2 linked regions of the Drosophila melanogaster genome follow. The protein of the gene in region 2 purifies or fractionates together with the protein of the main gene of each other region. This does not show direct contact. Each region holds a gene or a part of one and is shown on either strand. Other genes may lie near its edges.

Evidence for each region. Proteins that work in one complex are often made in the same cells at the same time.
Region 1: the proteins of kirre (region 2) and siz purify together in Drosophila melanogaster (affinity purification with western blotting, with the first as the bait; one study listed by BioGRID). This does not show direct contact.

What each region holds. Positions count from the first base shown.
Region 1 is NT_037436.4:21,032,714-21,037,534, forward strand, and holds the start of siz (schizo), read left to right. Parts: upstream 1-1,821; 5' UTR 1,822-2,205; coding exon 2,206-2,588; intron 2,589-4,821. Other genes in the region: Polr3E (RNA polymerase III subunit E), read left to right, coding at 1-338, 403-759; CG10581 (uncharacterized protein), read right to left, coding at 847-1,370, 1,434-1,479.
Region 2 is NC_004354.4:2,736,671-2,745,708, forward strand, and holds the start of kirre (kin of irre), read left to right. Parts: upstream 1-4,134; 5' UTR 4,135-4,334; intron 4,335-4,486; 5' UTR 4,487-4,574; intron 4,575-4,752; coding exon of another isoform or gene 4,753-4,826; intron 4,827-4,918; coding exon of another isoform or gene 4,919-5,161; intron 5,162-5,227; coding exon of another isoform or gene 5,228-5,321; intron 5,322-5,890; coding exon of another isoform or gene 5,891-6,127; intron 6,128-6,246; exon of another isoform or gene 6,247-6,288; intron 6,289-6,780; coding exon of another isoform or gene 6,781-6,813; exon of another isoform or gene 6,814-7,406; intron 7,407-9,038. Other genes in the region: crm (cramped), read right to left, coding at 1-743, 800-1,003, 1,252-1,792; Syx4 (syntaxin 4), read right to left, coding at 2,491-2,562, 2,627-2,875, 4,753-4,826, 4,919-5,161, 5,228-5,321, 5,891-6,127, 6,781-6,813.

The sequences.
Region 1 (4,821 bases), on a different chromosome or scaffold from region 2:
AGCATGTGCAGACGGTAGCCCCAGCAGCTGCTTCTGCTGCCGCCCAAGTACTTCCCGTCTACAACAAGGCCATGCTTAAGTCTATGCCGCTGCTGGAACAGCTTACAGTGCTACTGAGAGATGCGCGGATGCTCTCGTTCAGCGACGTCATTAGTATTCTCGCGGAGCACGTGGATCCGCATGTGGCTGCCGACAAGGTGCTGGCTTTGCTGCCCCAGGTGGGCATCCTACTGCACGGCAACTGGGTGCCGAAATCCGAGGTGGTCTTTCCCGAGAAGGTGCTTTCCCATGCGAACGGTGTGTCCGCAGAGCAGATGATTCGCGCCAGAGATTATATAGTGAGTTATAGTATGGGTGTAGCGATCACTTATCTTGTACTAATCTCCTCAAATCCATCCGCAGCTCTTTCGTTTCTCCCGCACGCCCTACCTGTTCCGAGCTCAGGTAATGGCCGCCACCCAGTTACCTCCTGCGGAAACACTTGACGTTTTGAAGACTGTGGCCCGGGTGAATAACACAAAACGGTGGGAGCTGCTACTGCCACCCGACAAGGAGTTCGAGCAAAAGTACCCGGAACTGGTCAGCCGACAGGAGTACCACTGGACCGCTTCCGAGCAGCACTACAATGAAATGGACTGGGCTAGGGAAACCAAACGTGTTCGGAAACGTTCGACGAGGAAGAGCGAATCCCAGTCACTGACTTCAGCCATGCCGCCGCCCGCAATGAATCACTCAACAACTGGCTCCGTGGATGCGTAGCATCGGATGATGATCTCCCAGCGGCGGAGAATCGGCAGCACGATTATACATCTAGGCACTATTAAAAAGACCAACAATTTTACTTTGTTAAAGAAGTGCTTTTGTAATCTCTTCTGTAATCTCTCCAGCCAAGGCGTTCCTATTGAATTTGGTCACCTGGTAAATCTTGGATCCTGCTGACTTTCTCAGCTGCTCCACCAAAGCCAATGTTGATTTCTCGGGTATGGTGACCAATAGGGCCCGCTTTTTCTTCAGGAGATCAGCCATGGCCGACTCAAATCGCTTGCTAAGCAGCTCCATTTTGCCCACTTCATCCACGACCAGGAGATCCGGCTCTGGTTGGGAATCCTGTGTGCCAAGTACTGGCAGAGCGAGACTGTCGAAGTCCTGCACAAACACCGAATACTCTCCCACTTTGGGTCGTCGCAGCTGGTCCCCGGGATTCTTGCGAGATAGGATTGCTCGTTTTCCGGCTAACGTGACCACGTCGAAGCCGATTCTTTGGCTGGTGCCCTCACCTCGCATTTCCTCTGTGTAGAATCCTTGAAGAATGCGTCCTCTATCCTGCAGAGCCGAGCATATTTTGTGGACCAGTGTAGTTTTACCCACTCCTGAAAATCATGATTACATACATAATAAACAAATAGCAAATATTTTCCCAGCTAAATTTGCACCTGGTGGCCCAGTTAGTATAATGGTTATATTTTTTTGGTTCTTCATGTCGGCTTATTATTACAATACCAATTTTATAGAATATTTTTGTGGTGAACTAGATCAACCAGGAATGGATCATTGGCAGTTCCAAAATAAATCTTAATTAATGCACACATATTTAGATTTAATGAGTTTTAAATTTATCAAAGAAAGAAAATGCTTATGTATAATAATGAGCATAAACTTAAGATTGTTTATGCCCTTCTTAAATAAGATGAAAACAACAATATATTTTAAAATAAAACGGTCGTCTTAAAATGCCACATTTGATGCGGTATATTTTTTGAATACGATAGCGTATTTTGAGTTGCATGCTCTATGGTCACACTGCGGTGCCCCCCAGCACGTCCACACTGTTTCCAAACGTCGAACGACGAGTGCGTCGTGTTTTTCGTCGCGCGTGAATTGAAAATCCGTAATTCCGAGAATATTCGTAATCCCCCTCCGATCCGCACCAACTGTTGCTCGCGATTCGAAGTGCTGGCTCTGAAGTATAATATACGAAGGTCATTCAATTACAATACGAGTGAAGTTTCAACTCGCAGCAAGCTGCATTTTCAGTTCTTATTGTGAGATTCAAAGTGGTTCTGCCTGTTTCGCTGTTTTATCACCCTCTCCACCACCTTCCCTCATTCGCGCGAGTGCGTGTGCGTGGCGGGGCTATAATGTTTTGGCCACAAAAGCACATCGATTAGGAGTGCAGCCGATCCCCGCTAAGGTTATAAACAAAACATGTCCGAGGCCGATCTGAAGAATCTATCCCAGAACTCGGATGGCGACCAGGAATTGCTGCTGCATCAGACCACGCAGTCCCTGCTGATGGCCAGCTCCATAATGTTTGTGGGAAACCAAGGAGGGCCGGGCGGTTCCGCTGGGGGTGTCGCCCCACCTGGACCCGTTTCCCTGCCCCTGCCCCTCTCCATCAACATGCCCCATCACCATGTGCATGCGATGCCCTACAATGTGGACGAGCTGCTCCGGGAGAACAATGCCCTGCACGCCAAGATCAAGGAGTTGAGTCTGGAACGCGATCGCCTGCTCTGTGAAGTGTCCAATCTGCGACTGGAGCTGGACATGTCGGAGCTCAAGCGACTGCCCGTCGATCTCGATGATAAGTGAGTGCCCACCAATGTTTACTATCTAGTAATATATTCAAATATCTGTTAAATAAGGGTGAATTAATGGCATATCATATTTTCCTATTGGACATCCCGCTTAAATGGAAACTTCCAATAGGAAGAGATGCACTTTAAAATTGCGGTTGCAAAATAATTTTCATGGCATTTGGGGGCCAGAAAAAATTTGCAATGTTCAGCAATTTGATTTCAACATATTTAAAAAGAATTTTGTCGATATTGTTCTAGATGTGTCAACGAGCATTTTACATATTACAAAGAACAATTTCTCACTAAATACTCTGTAAAATGCGGTTGTTTATTTTGTGATCTCATTAAGAGCCAAAATATTCCATTAAGTAATTATAATCAGTCAGGAGATAGTATTCATCTTTAAATTGATTATATTTTGAAACAATATATATTTAAAATCTTTTCTGCTATACTACCTACTTTTAAAGCTCTTCTTTAATGCTTCTTATCAGAGCGGCATTTCGCTTTTAAGTTTCAGGTCAAGGCCTTTGATATATCTGTATATATTGTAGTTTTATTTATACCATAATTTAATCTGCACATAGGCCAGTTTTTTATTTCCCTTTTCTGATTAGAAATTAACATTTTAGCTGATAAGAAAAAGAGCTGGAATACATAATTCATTCAGTGAAGATCCTTACTTTATATTTTGTGGTTGTGTGATCTTAAAACAAAAACTTGAAGCCAAAGTACCATTTCTTCTTCAGCACTCAAACAAAACCACAAAAATCATTGATTTTTTTTTTGGATCGCCATTTTCGGCTGCATTTCCGTGACCCCCAACTCCAATGTTTCCTTGCCCCCGGGTTGAGTCAACTTCTCGTTGAGTCACATTCATTCGTCCCCTTGTCCTTGCCACCTTGGCAGCTGCAGGCTGACAAGTCGGAGTGCGACTTCTGGTTTTTGCAACCCCTTTTTGCACGCCGGTCTACCTGTGGGCTAATCGACACAGTCGTGGTCGCAAAATGAAGTGCACCGTGGCGATAGGTATTTCCGTACATAAAAAACTCATGCTTATCTGTAACAGAACAATAGATAATGTTGTATTTATTTCGTTGCCAAATTGAATGAGTCAGTTGTGCTGTGATAGAACTACAGTTGCTCTCCGCTTATCGATCGACCAGAATTCTCTATTTGTTTAGTTCTGCTGATAACTAATGTGTAGTGCTACTTCGGGCGATAAGAGCCGTCTCAGGGAAATTCAATGTTAAGACCGAGTTTCGATCACTTATTTGGGGTCTTTCCAGGGGAGATTAACCTCACAAATGCATGGGCAAACAAGAAAAGAAATATTATAAACCATTCGCCTGGCATTTTGCCATTGACAGTCGAATAAAGTTGGGAGTATCTTAATATTCGTACCTGACTTTGCTTTGCATGCGGTCATGCCCCACCGCAGACAATCTTTTAAATACAGATATTTTCGTATATATGATGTATACATATACAAAGTGGGCGCAAATAAAGCGCAGTTATCTTTTAACCGTTTTCTTTATTTTCGGGGCTTCTTGGCCTCTAAGGTCTGCTAGTAGTAGAATCGTGGGCTCTTCCAATTATTCGCTTAGCGTTTTCTGTTTATTTTTTATGTCTCGGTTTTTGCAGCTCACCTTCGCCAAAACTTTGAAACACAAAACACCAGAAACTTTTAAACTCGCATTCGTCGAATGTATAGATACTCTTTTAGAATTGTTATTTATTGTCACGTTTTTATATGAATAATCACTTCAGATATCTTATATATAAATTAATCTTTCAGATCAGATTATTTTGAATAATGATAATTTAGTTGATAGAGCATAAATGAAATTGGGAAAAATGCAGGATTTGCTTATCAAACGTTCCCTGCATATAAGGTACATTTCCTCATTTGTACCACCATTTTTTACGTTTTAATTAGCGAATCTAAATGTAATGTAAAAATGCTTACCACGGCTTAGATCCACTTTCAGATTAGAGTTGTACAAGATAAGCTGCACGCACCTAGTTGGCATATCTTTCATTATGGAAAAGAGTATGTCACGATGAGACATTAAACTCAAGATCAGAGATGTTGTTGAAATTGTGCGGGTAGCTTTCTGTCTTATGAGTACGGTTCCGCTGCTCCATGAATGTTGTTGTTTCTCTCTGTACACTGGGAGAACTTACGTGACTCACAATTAAAGCATTTTATTTATTACCATCATTAAAAAATAAACAAAAA
Region 2 (9,038 bases):
AACAGCAACAGTTGTGGTATCACCAGTGGTGGCCGAAAGAGCTGGAATAGTGGCTGCTTGCGGATGCTGCATGGCCTCCAATATATCGCCCAGAAACTCATGAATCTCCTCGCCCAGCTCATCACCGCTGCTATTCTCCATCTTCATCAGATTGCCCTCCAAGGGCCCGTCGTCCAAACTCTTCTCCAGCGGCGGGCTGGCACTCGATTTGGGTTTCTTTGTCTCCGGCGAACGCTTCTCGGAGCCGCTTTCCGTTCGTAGTCGCTTGTTGGCCGCCACCGACATGCCGGCCAAATTGCCCAAGGTCTCGCTGCGCACTTTGAAGCCCATGCGCTCCTCGTATGCCGTCAAGCAAATACTGATGCTGCTTAGGTAGGCGGTGATGCTGAGCAAAGGTCGGTGGATGGCCACTCCCGGCCGGGGCTGGAAGCACATTGAGGGATCCAGCGATGCAACTGACGGCTGTAATGGTTCCGTTTCATTGTTGTTGTTATTGTTGTTGGACGCAGCAGATGGCAGGCTGCTGGAAAAGTATGCACTCTTCTCCTCGTGCAAACGCTGATTGGCGCTGCGCCATTTGTACTCGAACGTCTTGATGAAGCTGATTAGTTTCTTGTGCAGCGGAACTATGATCCTGCCGCGTGGATTCTGCGCCAGTGACTGGACGCGTCCGAAGGCCTCCATATTGGCGGGAGTCACCAGCACCTCCACCTTGCTGGGCAGCCGGATATCCTCCAGTGAGTCTACGGTTTGTCATTGGGTATTATTGGGCAAACATATCGAATGGAAGCGGACTCACCATCCAATTGATTTAGCCGCCGGAGCGCCTTGCACGATGGCGTCTTAATGCGAATGTTCTTGCCCTTGCAACGCACGGTTATTTGGCCCTGGTAGACCAGCTGCTTCAGCTTCATGAAGTGCTTCTCCGTGAGGAACTGCAGCTTGCGCCGCATCTCGCCGTAGTTGATCAGCGTGTACAACTCCTGGGCGGGCTTTTTCAGTTCTAAAACGATTGATTAAAGTTACAAAATTGTCCAGCAATTGCGAAATGAAATGAAGGCCAATGGCAAAATGGCAACGCTAGTTGAATTCTAGGAATTAACCGAGGCACGAGGTTTTTGGCGCCGAAAATCTATTTTTCCGGGAAACCGAAACAAGCTAACTGTGACCTTATTAACGCATTATTTTGCCAATAGCTTGTTAATTTAACATTTCGGGACATGTCATATCCAGTTTGACCCTTCTTCTTACCCTCCGAGAAGCGCACATATTTGCAAATCTTGTGATGGGTCTGGTAATAGTGCTGGCGAACTTGGTCCTTGGTTTTGAAACTATAGTCGCTGTTGGCATTGCGGCGCTTCAGCTTGGCATTGATGCAGTTGGCCACCGCCTCGAAGTCCTTGCCGAATTCGTTGAGGGCGTCGAAGAAGCAGTTGCGCTCCACATTCGTCCAGGTGGTCTTCCCGCTGCCCGTCTTCAGCTGGCTGGGCGTCTTTTGGGCGGCCTTCTCCTCCTTTTTGTTCGGCTCCCGTTCGCTGGGCGGCGGTGTCATCGGGCGCGTCTGGTCCTGCTTCATCTTCTGTATGACCCGGGCACTGGCCCGCGTTCCCGGACAATTGTGCATGGTCACCGAGCCGAGGAGCTCCTCCTCGGGCAGCTTAGCTATCGAGTTAACAACTACTGCTCCTCCTCCCTTGCCATTTGGCAGCGGCTCCTCAATGGACACGGATGACGACGGCGGCGGCGGCTGCGTCAGCGGGGGTGGCGGCGGCTGCTTGGACAGTTCCTCCATGTTGGCCAATCCACATCCGCTTGCCTCCTAGACAGGATCAATCAATGGCAATATCAATTAAACTGCGTAGTCTTCCGGGAAAAGTGGGAAAATGGCGCCGAACCGTCCGATTGCTTGGTATTGTCGCTGAACCGCGCGCCCGGGCTAATCCACTACCGACCAGAAATGATCTCGAAGGCTTTCCCAAGCTCCGACGTGCACTCACCTACAAATCAGACATGGAAAATCGGTGCCAAACGACTATATAAAAAACTTATTAACGAGACGCCAGGGATGTTGATGTTGGCCAACAGTGTGGTATCAACAGTGCAGTGTGTGCTGTTAGGCGCGAAGTGGTTGCTGTTAAGTTGTTTTGTTTACCCGCAGCGATGCCCGCTCGGTTGTTTTACAGCCGCCAATGGCTAGTTCTAGCCGCAGCTTTCGTTTCCTGGCTGCTTTCCAGCTAAATGCGTACCCTTTGAACTAACCGTTATCTTATTTACATATTAAATTTAATAAAAATATACAAAATCCACACGAAACAAACAAACTAATGATTTAAAGGGACTCAGAATAGAGCACGCTCTCAATAGCATAAGCTTTTATTGATTTCCTTTACCTGTTGATTAATTGCAAAAATTCTTCTTGAGGTTTTAAAGTTTATTTTCTTACGTATAAATTTTAAAAATAGGCCAAAAAAATAAAGTTTCTCGCGTGCATCACAAATAAATACCAACAAGGAGTAATACTAGCAACACGGCTGCGAGTATCACGATGAGCATTATCTTTTTCTGCAAATACAAGGGAAAATGCCTTTTAGAACCCAACGCTCTCGGGGATTCGCAGTGTGCCCACCTTGCGCGCCTTCTTCTGGTGCTGCTCCGCCTGGTCCAGCTCGTCGGCGCCCTTGTCCACGTGGAGCGTGGCCTGCTGGGCGTGAAACTCCACCCGCTGGATCACCTCGCTCTGCTCCATTACCAGGGTCTGGATGCGCATGAACAGGGCGTGCACCTCCTCGATGGACTTCTCCAGGCGGCGCAGCTCGTTGAATCGATCCATCATTTCGCGCAGTGTCTGCCGCTCCTTTTCCGTTTCCTGCAGAAACTAAAAATACAAAAATTGTTATTATAAAGATTAAGCAAATGTCTACATTTATTTACTATTTGCAATACAAATACCTTTTGATCTTTACATTTTGTGTTAAATTGAAGGTTAATTAACAGAGAATGTTAGAAAGGGCGGGTGAAGATCTTATTTTATTGATTTACCGTTGGTCCTTGATCGTTTTCTCTTCAAGTCTTCCTCTTCCCTTTTTCTCAGCCACATCCAAATACGCACGTGATTTTTAATTGTGCGTCGCGAAATGAGGTTTGTTGTATTTAACATGGTTTAGATGTAAATGTAAGTATCGGCATTGTGATACGAAGCATTTGCGCGCTTTTTCTTTCTAAGTTCGCGGTAATTTGGCGTTTTCAATGGCGCGCGAAATATGTTTGTGTGTATAGAATGTGCGCGCTAAAATCCGCATTTACATATGTATGTATGAACATACACAATGTGTGTGTTGCGCTAAATAAGCTTCCACTTTTTTTTTATGGTGAACCACTGAGTTTCTATTATATATATAAATATGTATAGCTTAGCTATACGGCTAATGTAATTAATCTATGTACGTGATAATCTGTATTGCAGAACATAATGCTTTATTTAACATCCTCATTAACTAATAGATGATGTTAAAACAACAGCGGCAAACAGAGAGAGTGCATATGAGTTTGATTTACCGTTGGCCCTTGATCATTCCCTGTTTAAATCTTCCTCATTCCTTCTTCTTCCCGAGCATCGACATACGCACGTGTTTTTTAACTGCGCGCCGCGAAATAAAGTTTATTGAATTCAACGATCTTTAGATGGTGAAAAGTGTTACTTGAGTAAATGCGAGTATGCGCATTGTGATGCGAAGCATTTGCGCGTTTTTCTTCCTAAATTCGCTGTAATTTTGCGTTTTCAATGGCGCGCGAAATATGTTTGTATGTATAGAATGTGTGTGCTAACATCTATTTACACATGTATGTAATGTAATGTGTGTGTTGCGGTAAATTAGCTTCCACTTCTTTTTTTATATTTTTTGATGGTGAACCACTGAGTTTGAAAATATATTCTATTCAATATAAAAATGTATAGCCTAACCACTCAACCAATATAATTAATCAACGTATGTGATAATCTGTATTGCAGAACATAATGCCTTATTTAACAGCCTCATTAACTAATAGATGATGTTAATACAACAGCGGGAAACAGAGAGAGTATGTATGAGTTTGATTTACCGTTGGCCCTTGATCATTCCCTGTTTAAACTTCCTCTTTCCTTCTTCTTCGTGAGCATCGACATACGCACGTGTTTTTTAACTGCGCACCGCGAAATTAAGTTTATTGAATTTACCGTTGTTTAGTGCTGTTACTCGAGTAAATGCGAGTATAGGCATTGTGATACGAAGCATTTTTTTTCCTAAATTCGCGGTAATTTTGCGTTTGAGCAAAATAATTTCATACATATGTATGTATGTATGAAGGTGTGTGGGTGTTACACCAAATGAGCTTCAGTGTTTTTTTTTTCATTTTTTTTATGGTGTTCCAGTGTTGAAAAAGTTGCGAAAGTGATTATATCCTATTAGCTATTAAAATCCCAAATTTTTTTTTTTTCTGTGTAAAGCTTTACTTAAAGTGATATGAAAATGATCGTCTCGCAAATTATAGATGCGATAAAGTCAAATGAAATGAAAAATGAATACAACATCGAGGTGAGTTGCGCTCTACTGAGTAATATTTAGTAGCTAATAGTCCTAGATTGTATAAAATGTCATTTAAACTACATACTAAATGCCGAACATATTAAAATATATATGTTTATGAAACCTTTGATAAGGAATCATATCAGACAGAAGACTTAGTTGTTTGTATAATTCTTTCTTTACTCACATTATCCACAAAGAGTTTGGTTGTCTTGTTCTCGATGAGTAACTCGATTTCTTGTTCGCTGGCTTCAGAATTAACTAAAAAGTAGATTGTAACGAAGTTCTTAAACAAAATAATGTAATAGTTGCAAAGCATTTAATCAGACTCGTCCATTTTGTATCACACTTACTGATTTTTGTATGCAGTCTCAGATTCTTTTTGACCTTGGTCTCGTAGTTCTGCAGGAATAGTTCGTTTTTGTGCCACAGATTGATGAAAGTCTGGTGGAGTCCATAGAAAAGGGTTCTTTTCATCCTTGCCTCCAAGCTGTAATCGTTTTCCGCCGGCAGATTCGCCTTGAAGTCGTTGAATCGCGTCATTAGCTGATTGCCCAGCCTCAGGTTTTTGTTGTGAAGCTCATCCATCTCGTTCTCTGTGCGAATTGGATTTAGACCGTGATGCAGTGGAAGTATTCACAACTTTAGATTCAAATTCTTACCGTTGAAAGTTCGCAGATTGACAGTTTGGGCCATGCGGTTCATCGTCTCCAAGTTGGCGGCTATCTGTGCGAGTTGTTGGCGAATCTCCGTGTACTGAAAAGGAAGGATACCGTAAAAATCTATTAAAATCGTATATTCACTTCCATTGCATTTCCAGTACATTTCCTTGCTCAGGAGGAAGCAGTGCTTGTATTGCTTTTTTGCTTTGCAAGAGTTGTCTACCGTTGTTTACGTTTACATGGCGACTACTTGCCTTCTCTTCGTCCGCTCTCTTAACCACAATAAAAAACGTATTTAATGAGAAAATGTTTTTTTTTTTTTCTGGACTTATCACGAGTTTTCGCGCTACGCCGGCAGCGATTGAGTAATACAGCTGATTCATAAGTGCACACATGTGTGGGTAAGCCATAAAAAAGAAAAAAAGGGTTTCCCTCTCTCCGGCTCTCTGATCTTTTATTTCCATTGAGGGGAAACGTTTAACTATGCTAGATATTAGCTGCTTTCTGTTGTATGTTCTTGCTTCGCTAAGTATTTATAACTTTCAAGATAGCTATCTTAGGAGTTAAAGTTTCTTCTATTAACTATTTCAATACTCAATAATAGTAAAAACTTGTATGAATTCTGAAGTTGTGTTTTGTATACACTTCGATCCTTAAACTCACCGGATTGAGTATGTCATCCACATTCGAGCCATACTGCGTCATCTTTGAACTGGACCGATCCTTGGGTTCGGTGCTGCTGTTATTGTTGCTGCAGCTGTGAGAGTTTTGGCTAACGACACTGTAGCTATTATTGTTACCGCCGGTGTTGCCAATGATGAACTCCGTGGTTCCACTGTACACGTTCAAAAGCAGTGAACCGTTCGACGACGAGTTCGACGAGTTCGTGCTCAATGAGCGCTGGAATTAGTACAGCAAAAATGAGAAGAAAAAAAAATAAATAAATAAAAATAAAATAGGTCCATGCGATCCTAACGAACTGCAGGGAAAAACTGAGAAAAAACTAAATTGAAACTAACAACTTTGGTTGAGTTTATTTACGTTTGTGTGTTCACAATCTGGCGCGGTGTAAATGAACTATAAAAATGACTTCGGTACTGAAATTCACTTGGTGCTAAAAGTTTGTCGGCGGAAACGCGGGGTTGCCCCGTAAGTGTGATGTGTGGCCACATTATCGTCGTTATCTCTGGCCGATCTGATAAATGCCATAGCGAACACCCACCAAACCCCCTTGGCTCACAAGTCGAAATAGTGCCAAAAGCGCCAACAGAAATGTGAGAGATTGGGCCAATTGTAAAGAAGGTGGCAGCACCTTGGTCAGAATGTGTTTCAACGTGCCGCAAAAAAAAAAAAAACTTTGATTAGGATTACTTTTTACCGAGAAAAGTGGAATCCTTTTCCTGGCAAATACCACCAAATGTATTTCATCGTGTTAAGTAGATTTTATTCGTATTGCGGTTTGAGTGATGCCAAACCACTGTGCTTCAAACTAATTAGCAGTTACCTCATCCCAACCTCCCAACCAACCACCCACGTTTCTAATATTTTCTTACCTGCAAAAGCTCGGGCAGTCGATCTTTACCCATTTCTGCAACTTGGACTGCCTTTGGTTTGAATTATGCCAATTATATGCCAAATTTATGCCAATTCCTTGAATTCCTTTCCAGTACTCCAAAATGTCCACTTTATATCCTTTACAGCAGCTTCTGAGCTTTGTTCCTGGTTTGTTGTTGCCGTTGCCTCCAACAGCTGTTCGCGAATGGGAAAATTTGATTGAGAGCGCAGGAGAGAGCGAAACCTGCTATCAAAGCTTATCAGCGCACAAGTTTCTGATAAGAGCCGCCTAATATTTACCGTCTGCCCTTCGGAAAGCGACAGGGCGGGGTGGAAAGTCATGGAGAGAGAGAGAGAGAGAGAGAGGGACAGTCAGAAAGGCCTAAACACAGATTATCACCTATCACATATTTGCCATTTATTGGCGGCTCTTTGCTCTCTTACTCGCTCTTTTGTTGCACACACACACAAACACAAAAAAGAAAAAAATTGGATTATGGGAAAAACTAGCTTTATGTATTTTTAAAATTTAACATGTAAATACATTCGGCTACATTTTATTCGATTTATTGAAAATCAATTCCTTTGTCTTCACCGCGCCGCATACGTTTTCGAACTAAAAAATCGACGCCGGCACAAAAACGCAGAGCCTCCCAGTCGCGTCGAGATTTCTTTCAATTCAAAAAGATTAAAGACAGCAAACACTCTGGCTACAGCCTGGGCCAAAATAATAGGCATTTTATGGTATAAATTCATTGGGCCTAATCCAAATTCAAATTAGTTATGAAAAATTCAAAAATGTACATTAAATGCAGCAATAGAATTGTGATTTGAATATACGAAGGTATTCGATTTCATGAACTTCGGTGTATTTGATATGTACGTTCATGTGCTTTAGCTGGAGAGAGATAAAGATAGAGACTCGTACTACATTATGTGTAGTTAGTGGCGATCTACATTTTTTGTTGTCTCCGAATAAAATGAATAAATCGTCTTTGCCACCGAAATGAAAACTGGTTAGGCGGCGGAGAAAAATGTGTTAATTGTTTTTATTATTATTTCTACTCTGTTGTATGGTAAACATTTCTACATTGCTCTGCCGCCTTTTGCTGTTGTTGTCGCACTTTTCACGCTCCATGTTGCCGTTCAATTGAAATAAAAGACCGAGTAAGAGAAATAAACCTGCGACGAGAACGTTCAAAAGTCACTTGCGCTAATTAGTTGAACTTTTTTCTATTGCTGGCTTTGTACTGTGCCACCATATGCATTTACAGGGTATCAGCGGGTCGCATCTATGTAGGTCAAGGGTGTAAATTCATTGTCAAGCGTTGTACTCACCACTTTTTACAACTTGATCCCTTCAAAACGCTTGTGTAAATTATACTTCTTAAGCACAGTTCAGTTGCTTGTTTCTTCGAAAGTTTCCCATAATAAATTTATTGCTATTTTGCTTACTGGGTAGCTAGATGGTCTACCCGCTTTATATTAGCAATTCTTGCGGTTGCAAAACGAAGCTTATGAACTGCCCTCAACTACGTCAACAACAATAACAAGAAAAATAAAACCATCAACACCAGACAGTTGCGAATTTCCATTTCTCATTTGGTTCGCAATTCTTCTCAAGTTGCCATGCCATTTAAAAAGACGGCAGAAAAGAATCGTGTCGCGAATTCTTCCCTCTCTAATGATTGTATAAAAAGCATACGTATACGTGATATACTGATACTTTGAATTGAACTGCATGTAGCGCCATAAGGTTAAAACATTTAAATCGATTTGGAAATTCAATGTGGAATATGTGAATTCGCGAATACCCTTTAATACACCCTTTAAACATGAACATTTACTTTTTATTGCAAAATACCAATTAATTGAGATTGAGATAAACTGATGTTTCTGAGCTTGAACTTGTTACTTTATTTTTGCTTTATTTTTTTTTTGTTTGGCTTTTAAAATGAGTCATATAAGTCATGTTTTTTTTGTGACCCCGTCGTGGAATTCGAACCGCCAATCGCTTATCAGATACATTCGGAAGGTTTTGTGAGTTCCAATATCATTTTATTAGTCGACGATTTCTTGCCAACTCGTTATTAAGAGGCATTCAATTGCTCGAAAGTCGTGAATCCGCTTTTATTTACAAACGATCGTATAGAACTCTGACTCAATGAAGATATTGTCACTTTTGTGCTGTAAAGTTAAAAAAAAAAACTGCATAACAAAGCAAAACTCAATTTAGGTGGAGTGGCTATACAAAGCA